Linked DNA regions of Callithrix jacchus. The protein of the gene in region 1 interacts with the protein of each later gene in a biochemical or structural test. Links are inferred from orthologs where the notes say so. Each region holds a gene or a part of one and is shown in the gene's direction. Other genes may lie near its edges.

Evidence for each region.
Region 2: of the proteins of MAPK14 (region 1) and MBP, one has a biochemical effect on the other in vitro, tested with the Homo sapiens proteins (4 studies listed by BioGRID). The link is inferred for Callithrix jacchus from reciprocal best matches to the Homo sapiens genes MAPK14 and MBP.
Region 3: the proteins of MAPK14 (region 1) and DUSP10 form a complex in vitro, tested with the Homo sapiens proteins (2 studies listed by BioGRID, with this or other methods). The link is inferred for Callithrix jacchus from reciprocal best matches to the Homo sapiens genes MAPK14 and DUSP10.
Region 4: of the proteins of MAPK14 (region 1) and MEF2A, one has a biochemical effect on the other in vitro, tested with the Homo sapiens proteins (2 studies listed by BioGRID). The link is inferred for Callithrix jacchus from reciprocal best matches to the Homo sapiens genes MAPK14 and MEF2A.
Region 5: of the proteins of MAPK14 (region 1) and RB1, one has a biochemical effect on the other in vitro, tested with the Homo sapiens proteins (3 studies listed by BioGRID and IntAct). The link is inferred for Callithrix jacchus from reciprocal best matches to the Homo sapiens genes MAPK14 and RB1.

The regions. Positions count from the first base shown.
Region 1 is NC_133505.1:44,389,398-44,393,538, forward strand, and holds part of MAPK14 (mitogen-activated protein kinase 14), read left to right. Parts: intron 1-1,001; coding exon 1,002-1,116; intron 1,117-1,700; coding exon 1,701-1,772; intron 1,773-4,141. UniProt on the Homo sapiens protein: Serine/threonine kinase which acts as an essential component of the MAP kinase signal transduction pathway.
Region 2 is NC_133514.1:119,560,494-119,565,122, reverse strand, and holds the start of MBP (myelin basic protein), read left to right. Parts: upstream 1-1,455; 5' UTR 1,456-1,639; intron 1,640-4,629. UniProt on the Homo sapiens protein: The classic group of MBP isoforms (isoform 4-isoform 14) are with PLP the most abundant protein components of the myelin membrane in the CNS. They have a role in both its formation and stabilization.
Region 3 is NC_133520.1:6,883,035-6,887,652, forward strand, and holds the start of DUSP10 (dual specificity protein phosphatase 10), read left to right. Parts: upstream 1-1,517; 5' UTR 1,518-1,626; intron 1,627-2,436; exon of another isoform or gene 2,437-2,599; intron 2,600-3,795; 5' UTR 3,796-3,838; coding exon 3,839-4,618. UniProt on the Homo sapiens protein: Protein phosphatase involved in the inactivation of MAP kinases. Has a specificity for the MAPK11/MAPK12/MAPK13/MAPK14 subfamily. It preferably dephosphorylates p38.
Region 4 is NC_133507.1:10,021,917-10,026,057, reverse strand, and holds part of MEF2A (myocyte-specific enhancer factor 2A), read left to right. Parts: intron 1-157; coding exon 158-289; exon of another isoform or gene 290-354; coding exon 355-492; coding exon of another isoform or gene 493-504; intron 505-3,543; coding exon 3,544-3,763; intron 3,764-4,141. UniProt on the Homo sapiens protein: Transcriptional activator which binds specifically to the MEF2 element, 5'-YTA[AT](4)TAR-3', found in numerous muscle-specific genes. Also involved in the activation of numerous growth factor- and stress-induced genes.
Region 5 is NC_133502.1:67,484,150-67,488,290, reverse strand, and holds part of RB1 (retinoblastoma-associated protein), read left to right. Parts: intron 1-488; coding exon 489-593; intron 594-1,688; coding exon 1,689-1,802; intron 1,803-1,903; coding exon 1,904-2,067; intron 2,068-4,099; coding exon 4,100-4,130; intron 4,131-4,141. UniProt on the Homo sapiens protein: Tumor suppressor that is a key regulator of the G1/S transition of the cell cycle. The hypophosphorylated form binds transcription regulators of the E2F family, preventing transcription of E2F-responsive genes.

The DNA.
Region 1 (4,141 bases):
TTAATAAAAAAAATTTTCATTAAAATGCAACGTTTTGTGTACAGTTTGGCAAAATTATATATCCACTCAACTGTCACATTTATGATAAAGAACTTTTTTTTTCTTTCGAGTTGGAGTCTTGCTCTGTCACCCAGTCTGGAAGTGCAGTGGTTTGATCTCAGCTCACGGCAACCTCCACCTACCGAGTTCAAGTGATTCTCCTGCCTCAGCTTCCCGAGTAGCTGGGACTACAGGGGCATGCCACCACGCCTAGCTAATTTTGTATTTTTAGTAGAGACAGGGTTTCACCATGTTGGCCAGGATGGTCTCCATCTCCTGACCTTGTGATCCACCCTCCTTGGCCTCCCAAAGTGCTGGGATTGCAGGCATAAGTCACCGCTCCTGGCCAAGAACATTTCTGTTACTTTAAAAAGTCTGTTGTGCTCCTTCCTAGTCAATCCCCACCCTTCCACCCCTAATTCTCGCTCAAAGCAACTATGGATCTGCTTCTAACACTATGATTCGTTTTATCTTTTCTGGAGTTTCATGTACATGGAATCATATAGTGTGTATTTTTGTGTATCTAGCCTTTGCTTAGTGTAATGATTCTGTATTGTTGTGTCAATGTTTTTTTCCTTTTTATTGCTAATAGTATTTTGTTTTATGAACATGTCAGGATTTTTAAATCTGTCCACCTGCTGATGGACATTTGCTTTAGTTTGACTATGAGGCTATGTAAAGCAACTGTGAATATTCATGTGCAAACCTTTGTATGGCCATAAGTTCTCATTGCGCTTGATTAAATACCAAGGAGTGACATTTTTGTTTTGCTTTTTGTAATTCAGTTTTTTGAGTTTTCACTGTAAGTTTACCATGCACTCTAAGCATGGACCAGGAAATCTCTTTATAAAAGTGCTATCTTGTTTTCCTTTTTAAAAAGGCAACAGAGTTGTTGTTGTTGTTGTTTTCCCCTGCCTGTTTATAAGTCTTAACAGTTTGTCTGTTCCTCTTCTGCCCTTTAGATCCTGGATTTTGGACTGGCTCGGCACACAGATGATGAAATGACAGGCTACGTGGCCACTAGGTGGTATAGGGCTCCTGAGATCATGCTGAACTGGATGCATTACAACCAGACAGGTATTACTTGCACTGGTTATTTAGGGCCTTATTTAATTCTATGTTGGATGCATTTGGGATTCTCAGAAGTAGAGATTATGGGAGGGGAGAGAAATATCTTTTCTTTCCTCAGTGATCCTTTTAAAGCCTACAGGTGAAAACATTTCACTTGCTCAGATGGGGAATTGGGGTTTTATATACAGCTTTTAAAGCTCGTGATTTAGCAACTGGGTTTTTATTTATTTAGATTTTGAATTTATTCTCTGAGTATTTATACCTGAAGACAAAGAGTCCATAATTTTAACCCCTCAATATTACTTGGAAGAATCTACCATTCTTTTGCTCCTTTTTTGAACAGCTTATTTCTCCTTTTTTTTTTTTTTTTTATTTCTCTTAAGTATGTTTTGACTTACCCCACCTTTGAACAGCCCTTTAGTGGGGTAAAGATCAAGCTCATTTATTTCTGTAAAAATGAGAATGATTGTTGAGGCTCAGAGGTTTTAAATAGTAATTTGAGTATTTCACTCCTAGTTATGGTTTTATTTGTTGCCAAGTATAATAACAGTGACATCACATGTACTTTTATTTCTCTTTAATATTGCCAGTTGATATTTGGTCAGTGGGATGCATAATGGCCGAGCTGTTGACTGGAAGAACATTGTTTCCTGGCACAGACCGTATCCTTTAAAAAGTTTTGGATTCTTGTTTCTTATTTGTATTCTGGTGTCCATGGATGTATACTCCTTTTACTTATCTCTAGGGAAGGCTCTCAGTTTTTTGCTTTTATAGTCCAGATAATATGTTATGAGGTCTCCCTTCTTACTGAGTAGCTTGCCCTGCCAAGAAAGAGGCTTCAGTTTACTTTCATGAGTTGGAAAAAATTCCTCCTAAGCTGAAAAACCCTTCAAATCTGTCATCTTTTTGCAACAAACCCTTATTAATCATCCCACAGTGGTTCTGAGACCTGAGCATACTCATGAAAAGCTCTGGATCCCAATGACAGGTTTAGTTTACTTGTATAAACACTTAATGAGTACAAGATACCCATTTATAATTAAAGGGTGTCTTGCTATTATGTTTGTTTTATGTATCAAAAAGGCTATGTTTGGTACCTGCAATGATATATTGTTTATTTGTTATGTTTGTTTTTTGACAACAAATAGTAAAAGCAAGAAGTGACAAGGTTACCCTGTCATGTGCTTTTTTTTTTTCCCAGCACAACTTTATCTCAGATGGCAGCCAAACCAATTAATTTACTCCCAGACTTACCGTCTAGTTTATGGTTTATTATATAGCCCCTTTATTTTAGCTCCTTTTCTATCTGCAGTATGCTTGTTTCATGGTTTAGTAATAATGTCATGAAAATGTGATTTATTGGAACTCTCATCAGTTCTACTTATGGAAGATGTTTAGGTAAGAAAGAATGTTAAAACATATGTCTAGAATTAGTTTTGGGGATTTTTTTTTTAAATATAATTGAGTTAACTAGCCTTCAAGTGGTTTTGGTTGGGCTGTTAGATATGCTACAATTACTTCCGATCTATTATGCCTAGAGATGTAAAAGCCATTTTAGTCCCTTACCTAAATAAATGGATGAGTTTATAAACCAGAATGTCAGTTCACTTTGCTCACAGTTTGGGATATACTTCTATAATGACTATGATGTCCATGATACCTACCCCTGTGTTCTGTCTTCTGCCACAGAGAATGTACTTTCATTATGAACTGAAAAAAACCTCTATTTCTTAGGTAAAGCTGTTTCTTTCTCTCTGAATGTTACTGGATTGATACAGACTCCCTGTACTTCAGGCTCCCTGTACTTAGCTTACCTTATTACTCCCTACCTCTGGATTTTAAGTTAGTTTAATACCTGGTATTTCTCCTTTGTCCTTTGCTTCCTTCACCTTATATCTGTTTCTTGGAAATTTGGTATGTATGTGTGTGCATATATATATGTGTGTATATATATATATATATGTGTGTGTGCGTGTATATATATATGTGTATGTACACACACACACACACACACACACACACACACACACATATTACACTCCAAGGTAAGAGAATTAGGGAAAATTTATACTTCCCCCTTTCCTCAGGTACTTATCTCAGAGTCCTATCCTTGGTTTGTCCTCTGGAATAGCTGCTATCCTGATGCTATTCCCTGTTCCCTCCTCCCTTTCCTTTTTTTGTGTCTGTATCTCCAGCTACCCATTCAGTCAGTCACAGACCTCCATGCCTGTGTAGACACAGAAGGTGGCAAAGGGAGAAAGACTGTATAGCATACAGGTTAAGCACATGCTCTGGAGCCAGACTTCCTGGGTTTAGATCTTAGCTCTTTTATTTCCAGCTATGTAACTTTGAGCAAGTTTTCTAACCTCTGTGCCTCTCAGTTTCCTTAACCATAAAATGATAATAATCATACGTACTCACAAGGTTGTTGTAAGAATTCAGCCAGATAATAACTGGAAAGTAGCCGGGCGCGGTGGCTCACGCCTGTAATCCCAGCACTTTGGGAGGCCGAGGTGGGTGGATCACGAGGTCAAGAGATCGAGACCATCCTGGTCAACATGGTGAAACCCCGTCTCTACTAAAAATACAAAAAATTAGCTGGGCATGGTGGCGTGGTGAGCCGAGATCGCGCCATTGCACTCCAGCCTGGGTAACAAGAGCGAAACTCCGCCTCAAAAAAAAAAAAAAAAATAACTGGAAAGTACTGAGACAAGCCTGCCAGTAAATGTTAGCCATCATCTTCAGTAATGACCTTTGCAAAACATTACCCCTACACCTCCCACTGTATTGTCTACCTATGAATCATTAATGGTCTTTTGTTTGTTTGTTTTGACAGGTAGGAAAGGATGGGTCCCTTGGCAGACTAGTGTTAAAAAGTTTTCAAAGCAATGTTGGTCTTATGCCCTTATGGTTCCGTCTCACAGGCAGCTAGCTGTCTATTCCCTGATGGCATGACCTTTTTAATTTTTAAACGCTAACTTTCTGCCCGAAGGAAGTCTTCCTTTTGTGCCTATATCTTTTTCTTCTGTGA
Region 2 (4,629 bases), on another chromosome or scaffold:
TGCTGCTGTCACTGTGGTCTGAGGGACGCTCCAGTGCCCAGAGCCCAGCTGCAGGGACATCAGCAGGCAGGAAGGTGGCTCCGCCTGTGGAGTCACGGAGATAAAGCCAAGAGATATTTTGGAGAAGAAAAGCTGTTTCTGATGTTAAAGCAGGTATCCAAAATAGGACCCAGTGTTCCAGCTTCCCGGCCTGGGCTTGAGTGACTTGAGCTGGGACCCGGGTGCACCTGCATTCACTGTCACCACCCGTGCTCCTAGGGCAGCTGTCCAGCCTCCCACACCCACTCGCTCATCCTTGACTTAAAGTGAGGTTGTGGGGACGGAAAAATCCGAGAAGCACACTTTACCTCTGACACCCTTTTCCCTGCCCCTTCTCACCTTCAGCCTCAAATTCCTAGAACCCTCCTGCCCTCTCCACTTGAAAATCTCTCCTGAGGAAAGGCCCAGACTAAATGCTTTGTACCATCGTCTAAATATTTCTCTTCAGTTAAGCAGCATTTGAACACAGTTGCTAAATCTTCCGGGTCTTCCGGGGAGGCTGGTTTTAGGCCGCAACCCCGACCCCCGCTGGAGCCGCCTCGCAGCGCGGCCCGGACAGCGCTCAGTCCTCTCCCTCACCTCCTGACGAACTGTGGGTCCCAGGCTGCCTCCGGAAGCCCCGGGTCCAGATCCCTGAGTGGGGGTGCAGGTCAGGAGGAATGCGGGGGCTCATTCGGGGACTCCCCACCTCCTCCTCCTCCTCCATCAGGTGACCGAGAATCCAGGGAAAGATCTCCCTGACCACCAACTGTGTGTGCAGGTCAGTTTTTCTGTTTAACAGTAGAGTGACGAAGACCACGACGCCTCCGTGCCGCGGGACCAGGCGGCTTCCCCGCACCTGGCGCGTTTGGCTGTCTTGTCCGCGCGGACTTCCTGCGCCCCTCCTGCAGGCGAAGGTGCGCTCCCGGCGCCCAGCGGAGCACCTGCCGGCCGCAGGTGGGCCTGGGCGGGGCTGCAGGGGAGGGAGGGCGCGCCTGGGAGGACCTGCCCGCTCCTCCCGCCTCCAGGGCGGGCTGACCCTCCTCCTGCAGGGTCGGGGCCGCGCCAAGTCCTTCAGCAGTTTCTGGGGTTTCCAGCCCCTGAGGACAAGGGGAGATGCGGCCTCGCTCCCCTCCGGCAAGGTCGGGGTCCGGGTGAGTTCGGAGGCCGAGCCACGGGGGAAGGGTCTCGGGCGAGGCTCCAGGCCGCCCCTTCTCCGAGGCCCGACCCTGAGCGTGAATCCCGTGCGACCCCCCCCCCCGGCTCCGAACTCCGCGTGGGCAAAGCGGGCCCGGGGGCCTCGGAGCTTCCCGGGAGGCCGCGTCGGGGGTGGGGGGACGGGCCCGGCGGGCTGGGCCTGTGTTTACCTGGCGCGCAGGAAGCCCGGGGAGGCGGGGCCGGGAGCGGAGTGCGCGCCCGTCCCTCGGAGCCGCCTTCAGTCTCCGCCGCCGCGCACCCGCGAGAAGCCGCCTCCCGCCCCGGCGGCCTAGGGCTCCCGACCCCGGAAGGCGGTGCAGGCTGTCTGGGGACCCCGCGAGCCGGCGCTTGAAGCCGGGACCTGCGCGCCCGGGCCTGGGACCCCGCGGCACCCCTCGGCCTCTGAGCAGCGAGCGCAGCGCCGGTGAGTGACCCTCGGGGGCGGGTGGGGGGCGGCTCTGGCGCCTTTGTCTCCGCGCCCCTCCGAGCGGGGACCGCGGAGACCTGGGCGGGTACCCGGGGCCGATCCCCGCGGGAGCCGTGGACTGAGAGTTGGGAACAGGAGCTGTCCCGGCGCCCGGACTCCGAGTCCCTTTCTCGGCCGAGAACGCGCAGGGGGAACCTGGGCAGTAGCGCAGGTGACCGGGCAGGTGGCAGCCGGGGGCCCCTGACCCGAACCCACGGCCCTGTCCCCGATCTCTACTGCGAGGGGGCGGGCGCGGGTGTAGACTCGGGTTTACTGCGCCGGGGTGGGATCCTGACAGGTGTCCAGGGTGGTCTTCAGCCAGGCCCGGCGTCCCGGGGTCGTAGAAACCGCTGGGCCTCGGGCCCCGGGGCTGAGGGGAGGAGTCTCGGGTGGGAGGGACGGCGGTCAGAAGCGGCCACTCAGGTGCGGAGAGGGTGCGGGCGGCGAGGGCGCGCTGGGGGGTCCTCCGGGCGCCTGCCAATCACGTCCCGGCTGCTCCCCCCCGAGGTGAAGCGCAGTTTCCCTCCGAACTCCGAGAGCGGCGGCGAGAGCCTGGGTTTGGGCTTCCGCCTTCTCGCGGCCTGTCTCGGGCTCCTCGGCTGGCCAGTCGCTGCGCCCACCTGGACCCACGTGCGCGCCCGCAGCTGCCGGTCCTCCCTCGCGGTGCTGAGCGCTGGGCTCGCGGGGCCGGGGTCTCCCCGGCTGCCCCTCCCGGGCCCGACGGCCTGTCCTGGGCCGGGGGCGTGGGGTGCGGGGTGCCCCCGAGGCCGGCGTATGTGACCGCGCAGTCATTTGCCGCCACCCTAGGTCTTCCCGGGCGCCGGGGGCAGCGCCTGTGCCCTTTCGCGTCCACCTGAACCCCCTGTTTCGGGAGGTGGAGTGGGGCTCGGGAAGGGGTTCAAGTGTCTTTAGGGATCCCTGTGCGACTCTGCCTGGAAACAGGCGCGTTCTGGTTCCTTGTTCCGTTTTCCGATTGCAACAACGTGAGAATCAACAAGTGCTCGGCTTCTCTGCGGGTGGGTGAGGGGCGCGTGGCTCGCCCGGCTTTGGGAGGGCGTGGACTTCGTTCCTGGGAGGTCTCTGCCTCATCTTGACCGCAGAACGCCCCGCCTGGAGAGAGAGCTTTTCAGAGGAAGGAAAGGTCAGGGAACAGCCAGTGTGTGTTTTGGACATTTTATTTGGTGAAGCTCCGGGGGATGGGTTAAGGAGGGTCACGCTCATGTTAGGGACCACATGGATGGAGTAGGGTCCTGAACTGAGCTCCCTGGCGGCCACCTCCAGCGATGGGTGCCTCCTTAGCCTCCTTAGCGGTTGGGACCCCGGGCTATGGATACGGCTCAGAGCCTGGAACCCAGCAGCCCTTCAGTAGAGGAGGGAAGGCCATGATCTGAAACCAGGCCGGCAGCCAGGGAGGGGATGCTCCCACGAGCCAAGGGATAAGGCACCACGCCAGAGGCTTTTTTTTTTTTTTTTTTTTTTTTATCAAGTGGGTTAAACAGAAACCTGAGTGAAAAGAATCCAGTTAAAAATGGTTGTAAATGCTGGAATAACTCTCAGGGAGTTAACTGTTCTCGAACAACCACCTCTGTTAACTCCGGGTTAAACAAAGCTATTCTGTTGTCATCTTCTTTGAAAACTCTCCAGAAGTATCGCAATTCTGCCCAGCGATAAGGAAGTGAAACATGCGTCACTTGATATAGATCTGGCAGCTCGTGGCTCCAGCTTGATTTGAAACGTCCGCTTTGAGTGTGGTGGGTCCCGGCTGTGGGCACTGATGAAAGGTGGCCACCGAACGCTGGGGGGAAAAGAGACCAGCCTTTCTCCTGACGTTTCTATTTCTGCCTGAATTTGTAAATGTTAATTGTAAGTTATTTTGTTTGACTTTTATCCCCAAGTTCTTTAAAAATACAGAAATTATCTGGGCGTGGTGGCAGGTGCCTTAATCCCAGCTACTTGGGAGGCTGAGATCTCTCGAACTTGGGAGGTGGAGGTTATAGTGAGCTGAGACCATGCCATTACACTCCAGCCTGTACAACAAGAGCAAAATTCTGTCTCAAAATAAAAAATAAAAAAAAGACATGCTTAAGATTAGCAGCTGCCTCTGTGCCTTTTCTGACCCCAGGGAGTGTTTATCGAGCACTTGCACATTGCCAGGCTCTCTTCTGAGAGCTGTTTGTCACCTCAGTTAACAGTTGTGATGGCCCTAGATACCCTCATTGGAGGTCACCGTGCTTTTCATATCTTCATTTTGACTGATGAGGAAGCAAGGCCCAGAGAGGTTAAGTTAGTCTAAGGGCACCCAGGAAGAGGCAGGATTCTGCCCAGGGAGTCTGCACCAGCGCCTCACTGCTGCTCTGCCCCGCTGTGGTGAACAGAATGCCTTGCAAAGGTGCTTATCATTCCTCCTTTTAAACTTCCACCCCTAATGATGAGTGGCGTGCACCCAGGGATGTTTCCTTTCAAGAATCATTTGACCAAAAGGTTCCTGTCATCCAACTTTGTTCATGATCCTCTCCTTAGCTTTCTTAGTTGCCAATGAAAAAGAAAGTATTCTAATTACTAATTACTCTTTTTTTTTTTTTTGGACGGTGTCTTGCTCTGTTGCCTAGGCTGGAGTGCGGTAGTGTAGTCTCAGCTCACTGCAACCTCCACCTCCCAGGCCCAGGTGACTTTCCTGCCTCCGCTTCCTGAGGAGCTAGGACTACAGGTGTGCACCACCACACCTGGCTAACTGTTGTATTTTTTGTTTGTCCGTTTGTTTAGTAGAGACAGGGTCTCACCATGTTGGCCAGGCTTGTCTCAAACTCCTGACCTCAAGAGATCTGCCCACCTTGACCTCCCAGAGTGCTGGGATTACAGGCGTGAGCCACCGCACCAGCCTCTAATTACTCTTGGGATAATTTTAAATAAATGGCCATTAAGCAGGAAGACACTTGGTTGTCCCATTG
Region 3 (4,618 bases), on another chromosome or scaffold:
TTTCACTTTTTATCCCTTCCTCTCAGATAGAAGAAAAAGCTGGATTTCGTTAGGGTTCTGGATGAAGACTCTCCACAGTTCCTTTGGGCTTGTTCATCTCCACTTCTTTTTGTATCCCCGGGCAACTTTCCTGCAGCTTCCCCGATAGGAGTATTTTCCAGACCCGGCCCGGGGCGGCCTGCCCCGCCCCCACTGTCCCCCCGGGACGTGCGCTGAGGCCAGCTCTCCCGCTACCTCGGGCGGACCAAAGTCAGGGGAGGCGGGAGCCGCGGCGTCGCCTCCTCCACGCTGCTCTCACCCCGTTCAATCTGGCTATTTGCTCTCGGATCCGGCTGTTTGATGCCAGCTTAGGCTGGCCGTCCTGGGCTCGGCAGGGGCTCTGCGGGACGGAGGGGTGGCGCCCGAGGCCTGTGGGGCGGGTGGGCTGCGAGCGGCTGGCACGGCGCGGGGACCCAGCGCTCCAGGCGGGAAAGGGGGCGGCGGCCGGCTGGGACCAAGCCCCGGAGGCGCGGCGGGCGCGTGGCGGACCCGGGACGCCCGGCCGGGGGATTGGCCTCCGCACCGCTGCTCCCGGCGCGTCCCTCGTCGCCTCGGACGTCGACTCAGGCCTCTTCCTCCGAGCAGCCCTCAGTGGCGCAGCCTTAGTGCTCCGGGTCGAGCCCGGGGAGGAAAAGCCTGGGGACGGCAGGAGCGTGACCTGCGCGCCGAAGTAGGTGTGCGGGAGGGCGGCGCGCGGCGGTCAAGCCGGGGAGGCCGGAGGGGCAGCCGGAGGGGCAGCGACCTCTGCGGGCGGGCGGGCGGGAGGCGGACGCGCCGAGGCTGAAGGGCCTCCCTGTCCGGGACCGCCGGCTGCAGAACTCGGGCCCTCCGCGCGTGGGAGCAGAAGCGTCGCCCTGGCTGCGCGCTCACGACGACCCGGCGAGGTCCGCGAATCCTGGGTTAGGGTTTGTCAAGTCACCTCGAGCGACTCGGGGAGAACCCGGCTTTCCCACTAGGGGCGGTGATCGCAGTGTCTTTCCTTTAGAAAGTTACTCCGACACTTTGGATCATCCGTCCATAGCAAGGAGGAAAAGCAGAGAGCGTGGTTTGTCCCCGGGGAGGGAGCGTTGGAGGATCCCGTCCAGGGGGAGGAGCCAGCTTTAGCCGAGCGGCTCGTCCAGCCCGCGGGCGCTGCAGCCGGGTAAAGGGTTAACTGCATCCTGCCGGTTCGGTTTACATGTAAATAGAGAGCAGCTGCTCCGCGCGGCCCCGGCTGGCTCTTTTAAGTTTTTGATTGGTTGCCAATGACATCACCGCCCGTGTTATAACACAGAGGACCCAGAGCCGCGTCGGATAAGCCCTCCTTAAGGAGACGAGGCCACGCCTTCTTCCCCGCCCCCTAGGCTGCCCATTGGCCGAAGGGCTCTGTGAGGTAGCGGTCGGCTTTCCCCGGACTTTTATTGGTCCAACGCGCCGTCGGTCGGCGGCGGGCCCGCCCCCTCGGAACCTTACATTTACAGTGTAGCAAAAGAGAAAGTAACTATGTTGCTGCTGGAGATCAATGAAGCCAAGTGAATGGGGGCTGAATGTGCGAGTCCATAGCTGAAGCCGAGCGCCAGATGGTGGAGGGCTACACTTATTTATGAAGTAAGTTGGAAGTCACCGCCACTACTCCTGAGAGCCCGGGACTGGAAGTGGAGGAGTGTAAGGCAGTGCGTGTGTGTGTGTGTGTGTGAGTGTGAGTGTGTGTGTATGTGAGAGAGACAGAAATATAGAGAGGCGATGCTGACGGAGGAGCCACAGCAGGTAGGGTTATAAGGTTCCGGCTGTTGGCTCCTGCTGCTCTGTGCGTTTACTCTCTCTGCAGTCTACTTGGATTTTGGGCGAAGAAAAAATGAGGTTTGTTGGGATGCTTTGCTGCAGTTTTAAATGCCCGGGGCTCATTAGCGCGCTGTGTGCCGAGGAGCGAAGGGGGAGCTGGGGGATGTTAAGTGCTCCAGGAGTGGGGAAGAAGGCTTCTCTTACCACTTAATTTTCTCTCCAGTGGTGGAAGGGAGAGGGGATAGCTCAGTATTTCTCTGGGAGATTTTTCTGAGCCAGACTGGTTGGTTTCACAGGCGATATATACGCCCGACCCTATGCTGCAGGGATGCAGATCTCTATACACTCGGGGTGTGTGTGTGTGTGTGTGTGTGTGTGCCGCGCACTCTGTGTGAAAGTGGGGGTCCCAGCGTGTGTCTCTGTGAACACGCTTATGCTTCTCTCTCAAAAGAAATGGGCTGTTGATCCTGGACGTGCCCTACCAGGTAACACAATAGCGAAGACTTTCGCTGCTTGGTCCAGCCTGGAAACAGTTATAGCTTCTGGAATAGTACTCGCTCTTCAGAAAAAATACTACGCAAGGGAGGGAGGGGGTTGGATCCTTCGCTCCCATCCAAAGGTGGGTGAGAGAAACCTGAGTCGGTGGAGATCTGCCGACGTGATGGGTGCGTGCCCCCGTGTGCGCGCGTGAGTGTGGATTCCGTCTGTGACACTTTGGTTCTATGTCAGAGAATGGGACGGTCGTGTGTAGACAAATGCTAGATGGCATTTTTCCAGATAGCTCTTAAAGTTCGTTTAGGTGAGTGGCTCTTGCATGATGTTTGCTGTCTTTGCTGTGTGTATGCCTAATAGAAGAAGAGTTAGCAAGCCCGGGTCGTAGAGTGTCCCTCTGCCTACAGGAGGAAGGAGCTGTCTTTTTGCAGACACTCTTTGAAATCAGAGATAGATCCCATGGGCAACAATTCACTGCCCCTTTCAACGGGCACAGGCTAATTGGGAAGCCCTCTTTATGGCATCAGTACTCTTTAAGGGGGGATATCTATCTGTATGGAATTGAAACCTTATACAACGTGTCTGCCTCCCATTGAGAGAAGCTCTAGGATGCACAGTCTGTGCCAGCCGGAAAGATGAAGAGGGGAGAAGAGCCCAAGTTGTCCTTTCCAGGCAGGAGTGAGGGTGGGGGTAGGTGGGGGTAGGTGGGGGAGCAAAGCGTGATGGATTTGCTGGGGTTGGTGTTTCCAGATCTGGCTTCATGGCTTAAGATTTCGTTTTGGGACACTAGTTAGTAGTCAAAAAAGGGAAATGCAGATTAATTCATAAGAGGCCAAAGGAAAATATGTGAGGTTTTAAAATGACTATGTTGTGCTTTTCAAAGGACCTCAATAGAATGGAAGGCAAAAATAGCTCCAGGTTAAGGAGATTCACTTAAGGGGATCCTTTTATTTGATTTGCAGAAAGTTGACATCCACCCTGATGTATATTTAGCTGCTGTACATTTCTGTCAGCCACGCCAGTGCTCTTGATTATCCCTTTGCCTTTGAAGCAAGTGAGGGAATTAAATAATGGCAAACATGCAAGGGTGGACAAATGGGTCTTTCTCAGATGTTTGTAGTGTACTTCTTCCCAAGAGCTGAGGTTCAGAATAGACGCCTCTTAAGAATCTTCCCTTCTGTCTTCAGCTTTTCTAATTATTTGTGCTTTTACCTTCTCTACAGCTGAACTTTTATGTAGGTCCAGGAAAGGTTGTTCATTAACATTTACAGCATTACATCCAAATTTAACCTTAGACTTAGCAACCAAATAGATTGGGGCCCTCGGATTTGCATCCTCTTTGAATACATAAAAATGAGTTTCAAGTTTTGACAGTGGTATGATAAAGGGCAACTAGGACAACTTTGCTCAGCAGGATACAACGGCTTTTCCTAGGGATTGGATGAGACTGCCTTTTGTGTCACGTGACTTTATTCTTTCTTTTCCCCTTCCCCTTCTTTACAGACTGTCTTGAGTTCTTCTTGAATTGCCAGTTTTCAGCCTCCTCATGCCTCCGTCTCCTTTAGACGACAGGGTAGTAGTGGCACTATCTAGGCCCGTCCGACCTCAGGATCTCAACCTTTGTTTAGACTCTAGCTACCTTGGCTCTGCCGCCCCAGGCAGTAACAGCCACCCTCCTGTCATCGCCACCACCGTTGTGTCCCTCAAGGCTGCGAATCTGACGTATATGCCCTCATCCAGCGGCTCTGCCCGCTCTCTGAATTGTGGATGCAGCAGTGCCAGCTGCTGCACTGTGGCAACCTACGACAAGGACAATCAGGCCCAAACCCAAGCCATCGCCGCTGGCACCACCACCACTGCCATCGGAACCTCTACCACCTGCCCTGCTAACCAGATGGTCAACAATAATGAGAATACAGGCTCTTTAAGTCCATCAGGTGGGGTGGGCAGCCCTGTGTCAGGGACCCCCAAACAGCTAGCCAGCATCAAAATAATCTACCCCAATGACTTGGCAAAGAAGATGACCAAAGGCAGCAAGAGTCACCTGCCAAGTCAGGGTCCTGTCATCATTGACTGCAGGCCCTTCATGGAGTACAACAAGAGTCACATCCAAGGAGCTGTCCACATTAACTGTGCCGATAAGATCAGCCGGCGGAGACTGCAGCAGGGCAAGATCACTGTCCTAGACTTGATTTCCTGTAGGGAAGGCAAGGACTCTTTCAAGAGGATCTTTTCCAAAGAAATTATAGTCTATGATGAGAATACCAATGAGCCGAGCCGAGTGATGCCCTCCCAGCCACTTCACATAGTCCTCGAGTCCCTGAAG
Region 4 (4,141 bases), on another chromosome or scaffold:
ATTTGAAGAAGTAAATACATCTGTGAACATTTAGAAACCGTTCCAGTGGCTCTTGTATAATTCAATTCATTCCATCTGTGCTCTCTTAATAAATTTTACAGAAAAACTCTTGGCAAGTTAGCATTATTTGTGTGTGAATTTTCCAATTGTATTTCAGACTTTAAGAAAGAAAGGCCTTAATGGTTGTGAGAGCCCTGATGCTGACGATTACTTTGAGCACAGTCCACTCTCGGAGGACAGATTCAGCAAACTAAATGAAGATAGTGATTTTATTTTCAAACGAGGCCCTGTAAGTACTTTTACTTTACCTCTACTTTTTATTTGTTGATCCTTTTTGTTAACTTCATTATTTAGGCTCTGAACAAGAAGGAACACAGAGGGTGCGACAGCCCAGACCCTGATACTTCATATGTGCTAACTCCACATACAGAAGAAAAATATAAAAAAATTAATGAGGAATTTGATAATATGATGCGGAATCATAAAATCGCAGTGAGTACTAAAGTATGGTTTGTGCTTTTATCTTGTGCATGAAGAGATTGACCAAACATCTTGTTGCTCATTTTTTATAGTGGGTGATGACAAGAAGTAGAAGGGAAGAAAGGCATTTTATTAGTATTTTTTATAAAACTTTAAGGTAAAATTGCTGAAGTCGTCTTATACATGTTCAGCATTTTAAATGTAGAAGTGAAGAGAAAACATGCCGATACAGACTCTGCCACTTCTTACCCCCAATACCTTTGGATAGGGCACCTAAACATCTTGAATTCTTTCTTCATCTATAAAGTAAGTGAGTTGGCTCTCATGGTTTTTAAGGTATCTTCCAGCTCTAAAATTCTATGATTTATAATATAGAGTATGTCTAAAACTTTCCCTCTACTCCCATGACTCAAAACCTTACATGTTCTTAAATAGATCTTGAGAAAGCAAAAGGTAAGGTAGTCAGGTTTGTTGCAAAACTTTTTCCTAAATTATTTTTAATTATTTGGTATAGTTACTGCAATAGTAGTAGAGCTAAGCTTACTGCTTTGCTGTTTGTAAATGTCCCCAAATCACTTGGCAACAATGCCACCACTTCTGTTTTTTTTTTGTTTTTTTTTTTTGAGGCAGAGTCTTGCTCTGTTGCCAGGTTGGAGTGCAGTGGTGTGATCTCGGCTCACTGCAACCTCTGTCTCCCAGGTTCAAGCAATTCTCCTGCCTCAGCCTCCTGAGTAGCTGTGACTACAGGTGCACGCCACCACTCCCAAATTTTTGTATTTTTAGTAGAGGTGGGGTTTCACCGTGTTGACCAGGATGGTCTCCATCTCTTTACCTCATGATCCGCCCACCTCGGCCTCCCAAAGTGCTGAGATTCCAGGCGTGAGCCACCACACCCAGCCAAGTTTTGTTCTTTTCTTATGCTATAGATACTAAGGAAGAGCAGCCTGGCTTAATTTTAATTTAAGACAGCAGTGTTCTTAAATTGATTGCAAAACAAATAGTGACTTTACAATTTCTGTATACTCATTTATCTAACCATAGCAAAAGAGTATTTGTCTTTGAGCTCATGCTCCTAAGCTTGATAGTTCTTCAAAGAGTTCTCACTGGAAGCTCCATTGGCAAGAGCTACTTAAAATGGTTATTCTGGATCTAATTTTCTAATTCTGTATATGTAGGTCAACCTCCCTTAAACAAATTAGTTTCAATGCTGACATTTATTTTAACATCAGAGTTAATTCTCTCAAAACTATGCCCTAAAGTATGCAAGTATGCATGATCATTTCTTCATAGTAATTCTGTACTACAGGTTGAGTATCCCTTACCTGAAATGCTTGGGACTAGAAGTGTTTCAGATTTCGGATTTTTTTTTTTTCCTCAAAATTTGGAATATTTGCATATGTAATATCTTAGGGACAGGACCCAAGTCTAAACATTAAATTCCTTAATGTTTCATACACATAGCCTGAAGAAAGTTTTATACAATATTTTTCATAATTTTGTACATGGAACAAAGTTTGTGTACATGGAACATTGGAGAGCAAAGGTGTCACTGTCTCAGCTACCCCTGTTGTAGGTCTTGGCCCCGAGCATTATGGGAAACTGCTGTTAGCATGTGTAGCCTACACATGTGCCATTTGATTACCCTCTGTGGGTGTGCTTGTGTGAGGGAGTCTGAGCATGCACAGAAAAGATACATCGAAGCTGAAGGGAGACTGGAAGGGTCCTTTTCCCTTGGGGACACTGAATAAACTGTGTATGCCTTCATTTCCACACGTGATGTCAGGTGTGGAATTTTCTATTTGTGGCATCATGTTGGTGCTCAAAAAGTTATGGATTTTGGGTTTTCAAATTAGGGATGCTCAACCTATATAAGAAGCCAGCTCACAAAAAAATAGCTTTAAGGAGTTATTTTGGGGCAAATACCATTATTATTCTTAAAAACGCTTCAGTGGCAAATAAAATGATGTCGTTGACCTTGCGGTTAATGTTAAAGTTGCAAAGATATTGCACAAATAAAACTGTTTTACTTTTGAAAAAAATTGTCATATGCCCACTGTTTTTATATTTGTTGATGTATTATAATTTTTCTACATGAAATAAACTATTGAATAAAGTCCAATAAAATATATTCTTCCAACTTTGAATTAGCAGTGTTACCTTACTTTTGGATGTTAGTCTTTTAAAATGAGGGCAGAGTAAAGTTGTTTTATTTTCTCCCGCTTTAAATTATAAAGAGGAACATTATTTATCATGGTTAACAAGCATATTGTAAATGGTCTATGGAGGAAATGCAAGAGAAAAATAGAAAATATCCTTTTAAAGGGGATATGGAATAATTTAGAGGGAGGGAAGATTAGCATTTATAATATTTGTAATTTAATCTTCATATAATTTAAAGAAGATACCAAAAACTTTATTACTTTTATTACTGGCTTGGTTAGTAGTTAATTTTGTTGTTTAGATTAGGTTTCTTTGCATTTTCATTATACTCAAATTGCATTGTTATGTATATAATTACTTTTTTTTTTTTTTCTGGTTTTGCCCTTTAGAAAGTCAGTTAAATCAGAATGGGGCATATTTATAATTAATGAAATTTGACATATTAAGTTAACAACATGTGTACCCACTTTTCTCCTTCTATTATATTTGGGATCTCCCAATAGAAATGTAAAGTAATTAAGCTGGTTTGCATCAAAGTGCCAATTTATGCTTATTTGATGACTGATATATTTTGTAATGCCTAAATTTGACAACACTACTTTATTATCAGGTTCATCCTCTTATTTTTGTGTTTATGAATATTTGAGATACAGAATATATACATTATATTGTATTTATATATATTAATATATAGAACTATGAAATTGAAAAGGCTCATGTCAGGCATATTCATGTTCAAATATAATTCCAAAGAAAATAGCTTTAATCTGTAAACTGGTTATGAACCTATCCCTATCCTGTACTTTTAGTAACTTGAGTTACCTTGCCAAATTAAAGTTCATAAGTTACTTTGTAGATGAATATGAAACCAACAGTCTTTTCCTTCTTGTTCTTTATTTACAGCCTGGTTTGCCACCTCAGAACTTTTCAATGTCTGTCACAGTTCCAGTGACCAGCCCCAATGCTTTGTCCTACACTAACCCAGGGAGTTCACTGGTGTCCCCATCTTTGGCAGCCAGCTCAACATTAACAGATTCAAGCATGCTCTCTCCACCTCAAAGCACATTACATAGAAATGTGTCCCCCGGAGCTCCTCAGAGGCCACCAAGTACTGGCAATGCAGGTAGGTGGTGATACCTGTTCTGCTGGTTCTTTAATAAAGAGAGAGGAAAAACTCATTGCTAACATAAGCAGTTTCTTATTTTGCTATTCTTAATTTTATTGCTTTGATGAGCAGGAATCACGGCTACATAATTGGCTCCATTTTAAAGTATTTTTTTGAAAATCAATTGTGGGTGTAGCATTGTGTCATGCAAACTAGAGCAGTACTGAGAACCTGCCATTTATACGCTTTTCCTTCTCATGGGAAAGCCATACTCTGACAGGCAGAAAATTCAGTTAGATATCACAAGCAAGGATTCAAAGTAGAGTGTGAGCCATTCATGTTAGAAATATGGGCGATAGACTTACCTGATTGGAGGTAGAGTATTTTTGCATTTCC
Region 5 (4,141 bases), on another chromosome or scaffold:
TAACTTAGTTATATAACCAACATCCAGATCAAGAAACAAAACATTGTCAACAACACATAAGACTCTCTTACATGCCCTTCCAGTCACCTTACCCTCACCACTACCACCAAGTATGTTCAATATTATCTGCTAGTTTGAAACATTTTAACACCTGGCTTTTTTAAGTGCTAGTTATGCAAAATTAACTGATTCTAGTTTCAACTTTTCTGGGAAACATTTAAGGGACAGGAGCCAAAGTTAGGGTAATTTACAAACCAGGTGATCAGTCCTAAATAATTGAGCCTTGGTCATTTGCATTTTGTTCTTTAAATACACTTTGGGTTAAACACTTCATGTAGAGTTTCAAATTGAGCTCAGTATGGAAAGAAATAACTATGTAGGAAATTAAACTTTTCTTTTTTGAGGCTAAAAGGAAGAAAACTATTTTTTTTTAGAGCAAAACCACATAATAAAATTCTGACTAGTTTTACATCATATTTATTTACTAGATTATGATGTGTTCCATGTATGGCATATGCAAAGTGAAGAATATAGACCTTAAATTCAAAATCATTGTAACAGCATACAAAGATCTTCCTCATGCTGTTCAGGAGGTAGGTGATTTTCCATAGTAAGTTTGATAAATCCATATCTGTAATAAAGATAATTTTATTCATTCACAGGCTCATATATTCTGATCTTATGTAAATTTACAAATAAAAATTTTTATATTATTTATTTGTAACTTAAATGCTTAAATGGAATTGGAAAGATAAGATAAATTATGAAATTATCCATATTCGTGGTTTTTTTATAAATTTAACAAGTAATGCTTTATCTGTGTAATAAGCAAGTATTTATAATAAACCTGGCATGAGTCATAGTACATTAGATGATCTTTTATTTTTATTACTTTATAGGAAAAGTCAGCATAAATGCAACCTTGCAAAGAAATAATAAATATGTTCAGTATAAACACATTTTGTATTTCTAAACACATTTACCTTCCCTTTAGAGAAACAGGAGTAGTAAAATATACTTGGTATGACACGTTTCATACGGTTCTGTGGAAAGTGAGTTGTGGGATATCTTTCCCATTTATTATTAGAGTTTTCAAAAGTAATACAAACCAAGTCATTTTTGTTTGTATGTTTGAAGTTATTTTAAATTCAATCATTTAAGTGTATAATGTGTCAGAGGCATTTGATATAACCTCTGTGTTTTTACCTAACTAAAATTTGAGTGAAATCTAACACTAAAATATAGTGCTTTTACTAAGTGTCTACTTCCTGCAATTGAGTAATGCTATTTAAACCCTTATAGAATGGGGCGATACAGGGAGGTACAGGCCAGAGGATATAGTCTAAATATTAATGGATAATGTCATTGGCTTTCACTTAGTTCTGGCCCTTTGATTCCCATAATGCTTTCCATTCTACCAGCCTGTCTACTCTCTCTTCTTGGATGGCCAGCTATTCCATCTGCTGCCTGGCTGTTTTTCTCAATAATCCTATGACATTTCGCTTCTAGTAGAGCATCTATAATTCAAACCTAAGAAGGCATTTTAGATTATTTTTTCCTGTATAATATGTGCTTCTTACCAGTCAAAAAGTTTTACAAACTTTTAGAAAAGAAAATCTAAAGGTAGAAATTTTAAAATTAATTTAACAAGTGAATTTTACTTTTTTTTTTTTACTCTTCTTCCTCAGACTTTCAAACGTGTTTTGATCAAAGAAGAGGAGTATGATTCTATTATAGTATTCTATAACTCAGTCTTCATGCAGAGACTGAAAACAAATATTTTGCAGTATGCTTCCACCAGGGTAAGTCAAAAGTATCCTTTGATTGGAAATATCTAATTATAAAGTAATGGGTCCCATTAAAACATTAAATAAATAATACTACTTTTTTGTTTTTGCTCTAGCCCCCTACCTTGTCACCAATACCTCACATTCCTCGAAGCCCTTATAAGTTTCCTAGTTCACCCTTACGGATTCCTGGAGGGAACATCTATATATCACCCCTGAAGAGTCCATATAAAATTTCAGAAGGTCTGCCAACACCAACAAAAATGACTCCAGGAACAAGGTGTGTGTATTTTCTCGTTAGAGAGGTAGTAAAGAATGAAAGGGGGATAATTTTGATCCAAGAATAAAAATACAACGCTTTCTTCATTTCAAATAAGCTAGACTCTTGAGTCTATTTGTTTATTTAAGTAACATAATGAGAATCTAGGGGGAAAGAAAATCTATTTACTTGGATGGGTTTACAAATTTAGTTATCAGATTTCCTGACTGCTAGGGGTATCTTCTTTTGTAAACAGTTTTTGAACCAGTTTGGTTATATGTTTCAAAACACTTTAATATTTTTGTAAGTAGTCAATCTGCTAAACAATGCAGGTTACTTTAGGTTGAGTACTTTTAGTTTGTAGTTTATTGGATGTCCTATAAATTTTGCTTCCTGTGGATTTTGTTCATTCTGCTGGTTATATTAAATGTAGATTACTGTCAATTAAGTCTTTAGAGGTCCATTCCTAATCCTGTTGGCAACCTCTTTACCACCTTACCTTGGGCAGGTCTCTATCTCTACTACACAAGGGTGCTGTGGATCAGCAAAATGATTAGTATGAAGCTGTTTTAAATTCTAAGATGAAAGGTTGTGTGCAACTATAAATCATTATATTATCTTCCCATCCAACCACAAGTGCTCTCTGGCTTTGAAGTGCTTCAGTTGACTAATTATATATTATCAGGGGCTATTTGAAACTGACTTTATTTGTGTAAAGTAGGAGGCAGATTAGCTAGTATAGTTAATGTAGTCTCATTTCAGAAATTGTCAGCCCATATGGTTGTCCCTCATGGACAAGAAAAGGGAGATATATTAGTCTTTTAGAAAATATTTGCATGGTATATTTAATTATTTAAGTAGTACATACTCATGGTAAAAATTGCAAACTCTACAGAAAAATATGAAGTAATAAATAACTGGCAATATGATACAAATGCTCTCATGTGCCTCTATATCATCCTTTATTTATTTGGTGTTCTTATAGTTGGATATCTGTGTACTGACTCCTTCTACTTGTTCCAAGCTGTTAAAATGCCACGTTATCTCTATATAAGAAAATTTACAGGCCGGGTGTGGTGGCTCACACCTGTAATCCAAGCACTTTGGAGGCCAAGGCGGGCGGATCACCTGAGGTTGTGAGTTCAAGACCAGTCTGACAAACATGGTGAAACCCCGTCTTTAAACAAAACAAAACAAAACAAACAAAACAAAAAAATTTATACAGTCCCATGCCACTGTATGAAAATGTATACTTAGGTAGTTTTTTAATAGTGATTATTAATCCATATTATGGTGATAATGATGGCTACTTCCTGATCCTTAGTGAAATCAATTGTGTTGTATTCTTTAGCAAAAAAGTCACATTCTGAACATTCTAACTAATAAATCATTGATCAGGCATTAGGAGAGCATTATATTTAGAATGATGACCACTTATCAAGGAATTGGAGGACAAAAAAAAACTTTATATGCACTAGTTCCATGTTCATGTTTTCAAATCTTTGTTGAGTCATGTCAAGCTAATGATGTTCTTCAGCTTTATTATCAAGAACATAACTTATATGGTTTAAATAAAGACAGACTAATAAAGATTTCTGACTATATATTTGATATATGATAACTAGCCTTTACTATACCAATATAGATGCTAATTAGAATTCTGATTATTAATATTCTAAGTTTTTGCCAAATATAACTTGAATTTTAAATGAGAAAATATGAAAGAAATTTGATAACTTACTCATTGATTTATGAAGAACTAAGTAGGGGTAAACTTGAAAATTTCCTTTGCTCTCCTTAAATATGGGGAATGGCAAAATATGTTCTTGCAGACCTATGGTTTTTGCTTTAAAACTAAGAGACCAGGTGAGTATATGATTAAATGGGCACTGTTAGAATAATCCCCAAATGAATATAGTTTGTCAGTGGTTCTAGGGTAGAGGTAGCCTTTAACTTGGAATTCCTGATAGTTCAGAATAGTATATCTATGCTCATCTCTGCAAAATTGTACATGATTTTTATTACTAATTGGTATTTCATCTTAACTTGACAGAATCTTAGTATCAATTGGTGAATCATTTGGGGTGAGTATTTT